Callithrix jacchus: one gene and its partner. The protein of the gene in region 1 interacts with the protein of each later gene in a biochemical or structural test. Links are inferred from orthologs where the notes say so. Each region holds a gene or a part of one and is shown on either strand. Other genes may lie near its edges.

Region 1 (5,939 bases):
CTATAAAGATACTACCTAAGACTGTGTAATTTGTAAACAAAAGAGGTTTAACTGACTGACAGTTTCTCATGGCTGGGGAGGCCTCAGGAAATGTAAAATTACAGTGGAAGGCAAAGGGGAAGGAAGACATGTCTTAAATGGCAGCAGGAGAGAGAAAGTGAAGAGGGAATGGCCAAACACTTTTAAAGCATCAGAACTCTTGAGAAGTCACTATCACAAGAACAACATGGGAAAAACTGCCTCCATAATCCAATCACTTCCCACCAGGTCCCTCCCCAATACTTGTGAATTACGATTTCAGATGAGAATTGGGTGGGGACACAGCTAAACCATATCATTCTGCCCCTGGCCATTCACAAATCTCATGTCCTTTTCACATTTCAAAATCAGTCAAGCCTTCCCAACAGTCCACCAAAGTCTTAACTCATTCCAGCACTAACTCAAAAGTCCACATCCAAAGTCTCATCTGAGACAAGGCAAGTCCCTTCTGCCTATGAACCTGTAAAATCAAAGGCAAGTTAATTACTTCCAAGATACACTGGCGTATAGGCACTGGGTACCTGTTTCCATTCCCAATGGGAGAAATTGGACAAAACAAAGTGGCCATAGGCCCCATGCAAGTCCCAAATCCGGCTGGCCAGTCATTAAATCTTAAAGCTCCAAAATCTCCTTTGAGTCCATGTGGTCACATCCAGGCCATGCTGATACAAGGGCTAGGGTTCCATGCTCTTGGGCAGTTCCAACCCTGTGGCTCTGCAGGGCATAGGTACTGTGCCTGTTTTCTCAGGCTGGCATTGAGTGCCTGTGACTTTTCCAGGTGCGTGGTGCAAGCTGTTGGTGGATCTACTATTCTAGGGTCTAGAGGACAGTGGCCCTCTCTTAGCTCCACTAAACAGTTCCCTATTGGTTACTCTTTATGGGGACTCCAAGCCCACATTTTCCTTCAGCACTGTCCTAGCAGAGGTTCTCCGTGAGGGCTGTACCCCTGCAGCAGACTTGTGCCTGGTCATCTAGGCATTTGTAAACATCCTCTGAAATCTACACAGAGGCTCCCAAACCTCAACTCTTGTCTTTTATGCACCCTCAGGCCCAACATCACATGGAAGCTGGCAAGGCTTGGGGCTTGCACCCTCTGAAGCAACGGCACAAGCTGTACCTTTATTCCTTTTAGCCATGACTGGAACTGGAGCAGCTGGGATGTAGGGTACCATATTCTAGGGACACACAGAGCAGTTGGGCCCACCCAGCCTAAGAAAACATTTTTCCCTCCCAGGGAAGATCTCTGACATGCCCTGGAGACCTTTTCCACATTGTCTTGGCTGTTGACATTTGGCTCATCATTTCTTATGCAAATTTCTATAGCCAGCTTGAATTCCTCCCCAGAAAATGGTTTTTTTTTTTCTCCCACATGGTCAGGCTGCAAATTTTCCAAACCTTTATGCTCTGCTTCCCTTTTAAACATAAGTTCCTATATCAAACCATCTCTTTGTGAACACACATGACTGAGTGCTTTCAGAATCGGCCAATCCACCTCTCGAATGCCTTGCTGCTTAGAAGTTTCTTCTGCCACGTATCCTAAATTATCTCTCTCAAGTTCAAAGTTTCACATATCTCTAGGTCAGGGACAAAATGCCGCTAGTCTTTTTGCTAAAGCATAGCAAAAGTCACCTTTGCTCCAGTTTCCAATAAGTTCTTCATCTCCATCTGAATCCACCTCAGCCTGGATATCATTGTCTATATCTCTATCAGCATTTTGGTCAAAACCATTCAGCAAATCTCTAGAAAGTTCCAAATTTTCCCACATTTATGTCTTCTTCTGAGCCCTCCAAACTGTTCTAACCTCTGCCCATTACCCAATTCCAAAGTCACTTCTACATTTTCAGATTATCTTTATAGTAGTACCCCATTCCTTGTACCAATTCTATTAGTGCCTCTTACACTGCATAAAGATACTATCCGAGACTAGGTAATTTATAAACAAAAAAGGTTTAATTGACTCCCAATTCCACATGGCTGTGGAAGCCTCAGGAAAGTTACAATCATGGTGGAAGGTGAAGGGGAAGCAAGGCATGTCTTACATGGGGGCAGGAGAGAGAGAAAAGGGGGAACTGCTAAATACTTTAAACCATCAGATCTCATGAGAACTCACTGTCACAAGAACAGCATGGGAGCAGCTGCTCCCTTAATCCAATCACCCCCTAACACATGGGGATAACAATTTGAGGTGGGATTTGGGTGGGGACTCAGAACCAAACCATATCAAGGCTCTATAAGAAATCATACAAAATAATATTAAGGAAATTGTATTTCTATTGATATATAGAATGAATGTGTTTCAGTTCTCAACAGTTTGAACACTTGATAATGAACCTGATGGGGTACTGCCATCCTTGAAGAGTGGACCTGAATACGTGTATAGAATTAAAGGGAGAAGTCATAGAATTCTGAAAACAGACTTACAGAAGTTAACGTATACTGATAAAGTACTATAACCTGCTTAAGGGAATTTTAAAGGATAACACTGAATTTTTTAGTTAGTGCCAGAAATGCACACACATTTTAAACTGATTTCCAAAAATGATTTTATCTTTTCTTCATTGGCCAGGCTGAAACAATTTTCCAGGAAATCTGCCCCAGTGAAGATTTCTGTCCCCCTCCACCGAATCCTGAAGACATTGTCCTTGATGGAGACAGTTTACAGCCAGAGGCTAACTCAGAGACTCTCAAGGAAAGCACAAACCTTGGAAACCTAGAGGAGCCCTCTGAATAATGGATACATACTAAACTGAATACCCCACTTTGGAAATTTCTACTGGTCTCAGAGCCTGCTTGATAGAAGGACTGTTTGAAAAATGTTAGGAAGCAGCACCAATTATAAGGCAAAATAGGTAATAGAAATCCGAAAGGGGATTTTCCTGATAGAGGACATTCCAAAAACACACAACACGTATAAAGCACATTGACCTGCTCATTTTAAATACCAAACTTAAGTGACTAGCAGATGAAAATTATAAATCATTCGATTCTCAGGAATGTAACTATGGATATGAAAGTGATCCTATGCACTGTTAATAATTTAGTGGTTTTAGGACAATTTTGTTTGCCACTTTGGGTCTTTGTTGGAAAGCCACATTTTCAGAACCAGCTCACGTATTTTCTTTGATTATTTAAATTATAGTTTCTTTATTAATAACAGCATTATAACACAAGGATAAAAACATATATAGAAAAACTAAAGTATCATGATCTAGATAGAAGCCTGTATTTGGAATATGGGTTTGTTTTGTTTTGCTTTGCTTTCTCTGTTGAGAAGCATTGAAAATGCTAATATTAAGGTGTTTACACATTTTTATGAATAAGTCGGTAATGTTTTCTTTTTAGTATCAGTGATATTTGTTTGTAAATTATTTACATATTGGGAAGGGTCAATAATAAAGAAATGAAAGAATGGAAGGAAAGGCATGGATAGACTCACTGGTATTTGGATGTTCTGTCTGTCAAGTAACTAGAGTACTAGGCTAATTGTCTACAGACCTAATTTAATCCTGGCTCTCCTACTGATGATATTTGGTAAATTGTTTTAACTTCTTGGCCTATGTTTCTCCATATATAGTAGTACCGTGCCTACTGTATGACAATGGTTATGAAGACAAATGCAGTGCCATCTTTAGTATGGCATCACTGGAAGAAAATTGTTTTAGAATTTTCCCATTGACTTGATGAATATCAAAAGTCTCACGCAGGAAATAATTGCGTGCTGTCAGCTTCAAACAAAATAGATCACAGCATTTTTATTGCATTAAGCTTTTTAAATGAAAATTTCTTTTTTTAATTAGTATTTTATAGTCTTACAGATGAGTAAAAATAGTAACAAGTAGAGTTGTGGTTTTGAAATCTGACTAAGGAAAACACTCTATAAATTGTTCCTGTTCCTTTTCTGGTAGGTAAACCTGCAACCACCCAGGACTTCAAATTGAGTGTGACAGTTGGTAAGCCCTAATATACATGCTACATAAAATTTTAGGGCTGCCAGTAATCCCAGCACTTTGGGAAGCTGAGGTGGTTAGATCACTTGAGGTCAGGAGTTTGAGACCAGCCTGGCCAACATGGCAAAACCCTGCCTCTACTAAAAATATAAAATTTTAGCTGGGTGTGATGGTAGGCACCTGTAACCCTAGCTATTTGGGAGGCAGAGGTTGCAGTAAGCTGAGATTGTGCCACTGTACTCCAGCCTGGGCAACAGAGCTAGACTGTCTCAAAAAAAAAAAAAAAAGTTAGGTCTGTACATAGGCAGCAAACCTAGCTACAGTGACGTTGCCTATATTTAAGTTTTCTCAAATGGCCAAGCTCTGATGGTCTACTTTATCTGAGCAATAGTTTAGTCTTATAATTGCCTGTAAATAAATAAATGAACTCTAAATTTTTTTTTTCACAAGATACAGCCCATATTGTCTATCAGTAAGCCATGGCTCCATTGTAAAGCACATAGTTCTTATATACTTCAAGTGGAGCTGGTCCCTGACCTCACCAGGTTTCAGAAATGTTCTTAAAGGAAGCTAGCTGTAGCATGTCACAGATTCATGGGATATGAAAGAACCAAGGAACATAGCTCATGCCTCTCCTTTCTACCCCCTGCAGATATAGTTGAAGCCAGAATAATGGAAGAACTAAACTTACTGGCCTCTCAGGCTGCTCTTGTTCCTACCTCCCAGTGTACAGCTCCTCCCCATCTCTTTAGTCTCCTTTCCTTCGCTTCCCCTTTTATAATGTCACATAAATCAGGACAGTAGGATCACGTTATAACCTACTTTGTCACAGGGATTCAGATTTTTCTTATATCAAATTGTGTTTCCTGAAACCCAGCTGGGGCATATGCACTCAATGTCTAATACATACCTATTTATGTACCGGGTATTGGCCTTGCCTCTGGATATCAGCAATACATTATAAAAGGTTCCACTAGATGAGACAATTGAGTCTGAATACAACTGCAGTAAATTGTGCCAATAAAGGTATTGCACTTTTATGGTCTTAGAGTTAAGGCCGCTTGAATGCAGCATGCACATTCTTGTAAACAGACAATCAGGATAGGCCTAGAATAACCACAAAAATTCTGATGGCCTTACTGCAGTCGCCTATATGTAGAATAATGAAGGAGATCGTTTGTGGTCCATTATTGTATGCCATTTCATTCATTAGCCAGCGTCAACATTTCTTTTTCAGGTCATTTATTAAATATTACAGAAATGTTTAAAAGTTGCTGAACATGATTCATGTATTATACAACTGCTAAAAGACTTTCAGAACCTTAGATACTTCCTGTTGCCTCAAAACGTAATAGAAATTATTCTTAGAGCTTTCTTTTTAGTTGTCCTAATTACTGCAAATAAATATTTGTTCTTAGAGTTTTAAGTCAAAAAGAAAAATCTTTTGGTTTTGTTATAAAACCTTAAGCTTGAAGTCATATTAATAAAATTAATATGTTGTACATAGTGGAAAATTTTCAGTAGCTAATTTACATTTTCAAAAATGTTATCAAAAAATTTTGATTCATGTATTTAAAATGTTTTTATGCATGCCTCTTATTAACCAAAAATAATACCATTCAGTTTAGTGATCAGTATGAGAACCAATACCTTATCCTATGTTGCTATTGTATTTTTTCTAGTTGGTGTACCTGCCCAGAGAAACATATACTGTATGTGTATACATACATATGTATATATAAAAGGTCAATTTATATATTTTTCTACAGGAAAATGTAGTAACAGTTTCCCTATCTCCCATAATATTTATTTGTCATAGTAAAATGGCCATGTTGATGGTAATTTCTAGAACTAGTTTCCAGGATTGTCAGCCCTTTGTCTAAAGTAATGGCAGTATTAATGATTGACTTCTGTCACTACCATAGTTACCTGGATTGGCAAGCCTTGGTACCC
Region 2 (7,153 bases), on another chromosome or scaffold:
AGACACGGGGTTTCACCATGTTGGCCAGGCTCGTCAAGACCAAAATACTTCTAATATTGAATATTAAAGTAAATGTGAACTATATATACATTTAAGACAGATTAATGAAAATGGGCAAGATAATTATTTATCCAGTTATTCCATCTCAGGGTCGCAGGTGGCCAGAATCTATTCTGGAAGCTCAGGACAGGAACCAATCCTGTATAGGATGCCATCCCATTGCACACACACACGCACATGTACTCAGACTGGGACAATTCAGACACGCCAATTCGCCTAAAGGGCACATCTTCGAAATGTGGGAGGAAACCAGAGGAACCAAGGAAAACTCGGACATGGGGAGAGAGTGCAAACTACACAGACAGGGGCCCTGGCCAGGAATCAATTTTTTCTCATCAATGTTATAACTGAAATGATGTTATTGGAGGACCTGCTCTACTCAACTCCTTCCAAGGACCCTAAAATTCTCAACCCCAATACATCATTGGCTCAAAATGGATCTTGTCATGCAAATCAGGTCCAGGTGCGGATGAGTTCCTCAGATATAATTCCTTAAGAACATTTCTGAGTACTGTTCCTCTGAAGGTCTGCGAGCTAGAGGCGTTATCTGCTCTCCACAGACCCAGCATATGGAACATAAGCAGAATAGACACTTCTGTTCAAAAGGGGGAAAAACAGGAGTGACAGCTGCCACTGGGTCATAGTAATTCTGAAATCTAGCCAGGTACCTGATGCCAGCTCCTCAATTCGAGTCCCCTCCTGCTCCCTGGAAATGATTATCTGTAGCTCCTGGCTCTACCCTCTTGGCTCATAGGTTTCTTCTAAGCCATCCTTTCTTTCCCACAGGAAATACCCCATGTTTACATCTGAATAGCCTTCTCAGAAGTCCTCTTAGAAGGCTGGGGGCCCACATGTCCCATTTAACTTTTGTGCTCTGCCTTTTCTGGTATAGTAGTTGTCCCTTGTTATTTGTGGTGGATTGGTTCTAGGACTTGGATACTCAAATCCTGCAGTTGGCCCTGCCAAACCTGGGGATGAGGACTACTGCATTCCTAGTTGCTACTTTATCTTCAAACCCAGAATTTTGATTGGCTGCTGAATGGGGTGGAATTATCATAACTCTTGGCCTTCGAAACTATTTTCAGTTTCCATTCCCTTGAATACTCTGTAAATTGTACATATTGAGCTCCTACTACACCCTAACACTGTTTCAAGAATCAGGGATTTATCTCAGTGAATGAAACACAAAAATAGCTGCCCTTATGGAGCTGCCATTCTAGTGGGGAAGGCAGACACTATGTAAATAAGTGAGTAATATAAGAGGAAAAACTTTGGGAGGCTGAATTATTATTCAACACCAGGAGTTCAAGACTGCCTGAATAACATAGTAAGACCTCCTGTTTACATGCAAAAAAGGAGAAAAGCAGTAAGGGAGATGGCAATTTTTTCGTGTGTGTTGTGGTGACAGAGAAAGGGACTTCGGTTTTAAATAGGGAAGGCTATTTTACTAAAAAGTTTACTTTAAAGTCAAGACCAGAGGAAAGTGAGGGAGTGGCCAAGCAGATACCTGGAGGAAGAGCTTTTCAAGTAGAGAAGTACAACTGCAGTGGTCTGATGTAGATGTGTGCCTTCTCTTTTCTTTCTTATTTATCTTTTGGAAGAAACAGTCTTGTTGTGTTGCCCAAGCTGGTCTCCAACACCTGGGCACTTGCAAAGTGAAAGCAGAGAAAGAGTAGACTTACTCCAGAGGCAGATGGTATGCAAGGCCATTTCAGAATACACATAGAGAAAACAGGAGAATAGATTGTGAGGTTTTTGGGGAAAGAGCCAATTTTAGTTGAAAAAGGGGGAACCCCAGACAATGTACCATCTCAGGCTTGAGACTGCTCGCCTAGCTCCTAAGATTTTTTTTTTTTTTTACCCAGGCCCTTCAACTCCTGAGATCTTATCGAGAAGCTGCTGATAGCCAGCTTTGGGTGTTTCTATCTATTGGGAGACTGCCTCTCCCCAGGTCTGGCTGCAACCACTTATTGTTTTAGAGTGACAGCTTAACAACCACCTGACCACTACCTGATGGTTGCCTCACATTGCTGGTGGGGGAGTGGCCCATCTCCTGCCCTGCTCAGGTCTGACTACTTATCTACTGTAACAGTTGCAAGGTTTTTGGATGGAACAATTGAAAGAATGGAGTTTGAATGAACCAAGATAAAAAATGACTATGAAAGGGCATTGTTGAAGATGTGGACAAAAGTTCTGAGTGGATCCTGATGTGTTCAGATGGGGCTGGTGCTTGCGAGGCGGCTCCATGCTTGCAAGAAGAGTTCTACTAGGTCCATCTTTGTCACATCTTCTTTAAGACTAAGTTCAGAGAGGCTTAGCTATTTTTCCATTTTTGTGGGCTGTCTCTTCTGCCAGACAGTGTCTTTCTTTTAAGTGTCTCTATCGCCGAGCCACACAATTGCTGTAGTCATTTACAGTCTACTAGAACGATAACACACATTGGCATCAGACAGACCTTGGTTCAAAACCCTGCTCCACCAGTTTCTGTGTTGAGCTAGACCAAGTGACCTGATATGCTGGGTCTCAGCTTCTTATTTGTAAAATGGTGATACTAATCTTTGCTTAAGTGGTTAAAGTAAGGATAAATGATGCCTTCCGAAGAAGGACACAACTGGAATGGCCAGTTTACCCCTCGTCCTCTCTTCGCTGGCATTCTTTATTCTGTAGTAAGGACGGATGGCTGAGGGAATCCGTCTGCGGGTCCAACATGGCGCCGTCCTGCTTCTTGTACGAACCTCAAAGATGGGGACTATCTCCTGGGAGCAGACATGTTTGTAGCACGTGACCCAGGCTCAGGCACGAGGCAGCCGGAACGTGACGCAAGGTTGAGGCGGGGCTCCACCTCCTCACCCTGGCGTCGAGCGTCTCGTGACAGGTACTTCCGCTCGGGGCGGTGGCGGTGGCGGAAGTGGGAGCGGGCTTGGAGTCTTGGCCATAAAGCCTGAGGCGGCGGCAGCGGCGGAGTTGGCGGCTTGGAGAGCCCAGGATAGTTCGCTGGAACTGGAACTTGGACTTCCCCGCTTTTGTCCTCCGTTGAGTCTCCTCCTCGGCGGGAGCCCTCGCTACGCGCCCGGCCCGGAGCCCCCAGCGCAGCGGCCGCGGTAAGCAGCGGGCCCAGCCCGGCCGGCGGCCTGGCCCCATCCCCCTCTTCAGCCCCTCGGTCGCCAGGGCCTCGCGTCCTCCCTGTCCTCCTGGGCAGACTCCGGGCCCAGCCCTGGCCTCGCGGGGAAACTCGGCATCGCTCAGGTCCCTGGAGCAGGCCCGGACCCCGCCCGGCTTGGAGAGGTCGGAGGTCGTCGGGTGTGACCTCTGGCTGGGTTTCCGACCCCGGCCGCCAGTCTCGGACGCTCTGTTTACTGTTGGTGTCGATCTCAGAGACCCGAGAGGGTTCCCTGACTTGGGCGGCCCTGCGCCGCGGCAGGACGCGCTAGCCGGTGGAGTTCCTTAGCGCGGCGAGACTGAGGGTGTCGGAGCCCACCCCGCCCGCCGCTGTGCCCACCTGGCGGGCATGGGTCACAGGCGCTTGGGCCGAGCCGCGCGTTCTCATCCGGCTCTTCAGTTGAACAGCCTGACCCTGTTAGTGGGAGAGGTTCCCTGACAGCAACTGAGTCAGGGCAGTGAGTCAGGTCACGTGCGCTGGGCTCGGCTCGGTACTTGTGTACATTGAGGTGCCTCTGGCGCTGGGAGACGGGGAGCTTTTTGTCATAGGCATGTTACGGTAAATCCTGAGGTAAGTTTTTCAACTTATTTGAGGAAAGATGGTAGTTGGATGCAGAGTTGTGTTTCCATTCCGACCGTGTTGGGGGCCTCTTTCTGCATTCATTTTAGTCTTGTTACCTATGGTTCATAAGGGGAATATTGAGAATACTGACAGCAAATATTTGAGCGTTTATTGTATGTTAGGCAGCGTGGCAAGACCTTTTAATAGATCATTATGTTTACCCTTTGTTGAAAGAAAACATAAATCCTCTGAAGTACCACTGTTGTGCCCACTTAACAGTGGGAAGTTGAAGAACAGAGAGGTTAAGTCATTGGACCAAGGCCACACAGCCAATAAGTTATGAAGCAGAGTTTCAAGCCGAGGCAGTCAGAGTCCAGAGCAGTGTATTCAATTTCTAGGTTATACTGCTTTCACTTGCCCCCAAAGCTTGTGGTTTATCTTTTGCCACCTGGTATCTGTACCTCACTGCCTCCCACCACCTCCTTTCTTTCTGTTGATGTCATTCGAAAGTCTTTCATCAGTTCTACCTTAAGGCTATAAGAAATGCCATTTGCGACTTATCACACATGTTGTGGTGTACTATCACCGAATTAGGAGCTCTTGAATACTGGCAGGGTACTTAATTGAGGTTTGAAAAATTTTGCACGTAGGCCTGGCAAGCCTGCTTCGTGAACCTTTCTTACAACCTTAGTTGATGGCTGTCCAGCCAGTTGGTTCTTTACTATTGAAAATACTGCATCTTTAGTTTCCTAAAGAACAGGCTCTTGTCTCTTCCTTGTGACTTAAGCAGCTGATGAGGCACATGATTTCTCATCCATGGATTAATAAAATCTCCTCTTAGTGTGTTTCTCTCTTCTTACTTGGGAAGGTTTGTTCAGATTTGAGTGTAAGAACTGGAAGGTGAGTTAGGAGTACTTCTGAAGGGACTGGCTAAGCTAAAGCTTAGTGTTCACAATCCTGTTGTATTCAAATGTGTCCTTTTTTTTAAACTTTGCTACCCAGCCTAAAATATTTAAGTGAGTAATAAGTACTGTAGCTTTATATGATGTTTGAGTTTAGAGGAGAGTAATGATAGGCACCTTTTTATTCGTTCATGAAGTATTTTGAGTATTCATTGAGTATCAGCAATGTATCAGGCATTGCGGGATATTGACTCAGGGAGATAGGCATGGTTCCTGTCCTCAAGGAATTTTTAAAAGGTGAATGATCTTGGCCAGAAATTCTGTTGTGGAATGATTTGGTGGCAGAACTCCAGGCTTTTTGAAAGAGTTATTTTCTCTTCTCTGCTGATGAATCAGTAGTAATCCAAAGGCTGGTGTTCTGGCTAACTTTAAGACTTCGTTAATTTCAACAACAGCATTTGTATATAAGGCTTGCTCTCCAGAGAGTGTAGAAGATAATATTACAGTTTCTAATTAATCTCATCTTTTAAAGAGTAACCTTCAGCACTCAACTTGTTTCTCCTTTTGCTCTAGTGGCATTTTATTTAATTTTTTTTTGAGATGGAATTTCGCTCTTGTTGCCCAGAGTGGTGTGCAATGGTGCAGTCTCAGCTCACCACAACCTCTGTCTCGCTGGTACAAGCAGTTCTTCTGCCTCAGTCTTCTGAGTAGCCGGGATTACAGGCATGCGCCACCATGCCTAATTAATTTTGTATTTTTAGTAGAGGTGAGGTTTCTCTATGTTGGTCAGGCTGGTCTCGACTCCTGACCTCAGGTGATCTGCCCGCCTCAGCCTCCCAAAGTGCTGGTATTACAGGTGTGACCCATCTTGCCTGGCCAACTCTAGTGGCATTTTTTGTTCACTCAAGAGGTAGTCTGTGTCACTGCCATTAATGTTGCACTGCAGTGTCTTTGAGCAAAGATACATTTGGCGTGCTGGATTTTTTTCTTCAGCTGGGAAGAAGGTTTAATGTAGCACTGATACTGTACCAGCCATAGTTTCAGTACCATTCTAGGTAGAAAAGCTGTGCTGCCCTATCTTCCACAACTTTCCAGATTCCCTTCTTTAAGAGATTTGAGTTTTACATTTGTGGTAAAACATTAGTAAACAGAAGGGCGGAATACAGGAGATATTTTAAAAATAGTTTTATTAGTATATCCTTCTAGGTAGTTAGCAACCACCTGGGGCAATTTTGTTTTTCTCTCTTTTTTTTTTTTTTTGAGACGGAGTTTGGCTCTCGTTACCCAGGCTGGAGTGCAATGCCGCAACCTCCGCCTCCTGGGTTCAGGCCACTCTCCTGCCTCAGCCTCCTGAGTAGCTGGGATTACAGGCACACGCCACCATGCCCAGCTAATTTTTTGTATTTTTAGTAGAGACGGGGTTTCACCATGTTGACCAGGATGGTCTCGATCTCTTGACCTCGTGATCCACCTGCCTCGGCCTGCCAAAGTGCTGGGATTACAGGCGTGAGCCACAGCGCCCGGCTTTTCTTTTTTTTGTGCCAACTGTGCCTAAGCTCCCAAACCGTGTAATCAGAGAACAGTGCTTGATAGTAAAATGTGACTTCGAATCAGTTTTCTGACCTCACTGCCAAGTGAGGCCAAAAAGTTTTGCTTATTTGATTAGCTTTGAATGCATCCTCAAAGAGATCTTCACTAATAATGTTTTTGCTCTTACATTTGGCATTAGCCTTTGTATGCAAAGATGTAGCAAACACAGGCCACACAAATATGACAGTTGTCTTATGCACATTCCTCTCTGGCATTTCACACAAATATTTTAGTTTTTCCTATGATAAAATATCTAACTCCCCATTCATATAATTGAACAAATACAGCTGAAATAGATTTGACCAGATATTGGACTTGGAGCTGTAGGCAGGCTTTTCGTAGGGAGGTAAGGTTTAGAAGTCCTCCTGAATAAGACTAAACAGAGATTCCCCTTGGCACTAAATGTCTTCTTCTGAAGGCAACTGAAACTCTAGAAATGAACTCCCCACCTCCCTGTGTATTTTTTAGCTATTGGCTTTCTGTTGATGACTCTTAGCTCTCATTGTATTCTGGCATCCATTCCTTTGTGTTACTGCATGCTTATCTGTTAATATTATCTAATAGATCTCTATGCTCCTCTGCAGTTTGCTGCAGAAACATTGTGCGATGTGTTGATCTTTTCAGTTATTTGCTCTCACTTCTTCCCTCTATTCTGTTTTTCCCCTTACTCTGTAAGGCATTAAAGGCAAAAATAATTTGTATTTGTGTTTTAAAACTTATTTTTAAAACATTTCTTAATGGCGATTGTGGTCACTGTGATTTGTGAATCAGAGGTAAAAGTGATGTGGAGAGTGAAATCAAAACAGGCTTTTTAGCAGTGTCTGTTACCAGTTTCAATTTTAGTATCTGAGGCTGTGATTACAAGAACATATTTAAGAAT

The links. The genes of interacting proteins can lie anywhere in the genome.
Region 2: the proteins of CHM (region 1) and RAB7A are reported together in a solved structure, tested with the Homo sapiens proteins (2 studies listed by BioGRID, with this or other methods). The link is inferred for Callithrix jacchus from reciprocal best matches to the Homo sapiens genes CHM and RAB7A.

Annotation. Positions count from the first base shown.
Region 1 is NC_133524.1:83,292,643-83,298,581, reverse strand, and holds part of CHM (rab proteins geranylgeranyltransferase component A 1), read left to right. Parts: intron 1-2,605; coding exon 2,606-2,770; 3' UTR 2,771-5,939. UniProt on the Homo sapiens protein: Substrate-binding subunit of the Rab geranylgeranyltransferase (GGTase) complex.
Region 2 is NC_133516.1:73,418,655-73,425,807, reverse strand, and holds the start of RAB7A (ras-related protein Rab-7a), read left to right. Parts: upstream 1-2,967; 5' UTR 2,968-3,161; intron 3,162-7,153.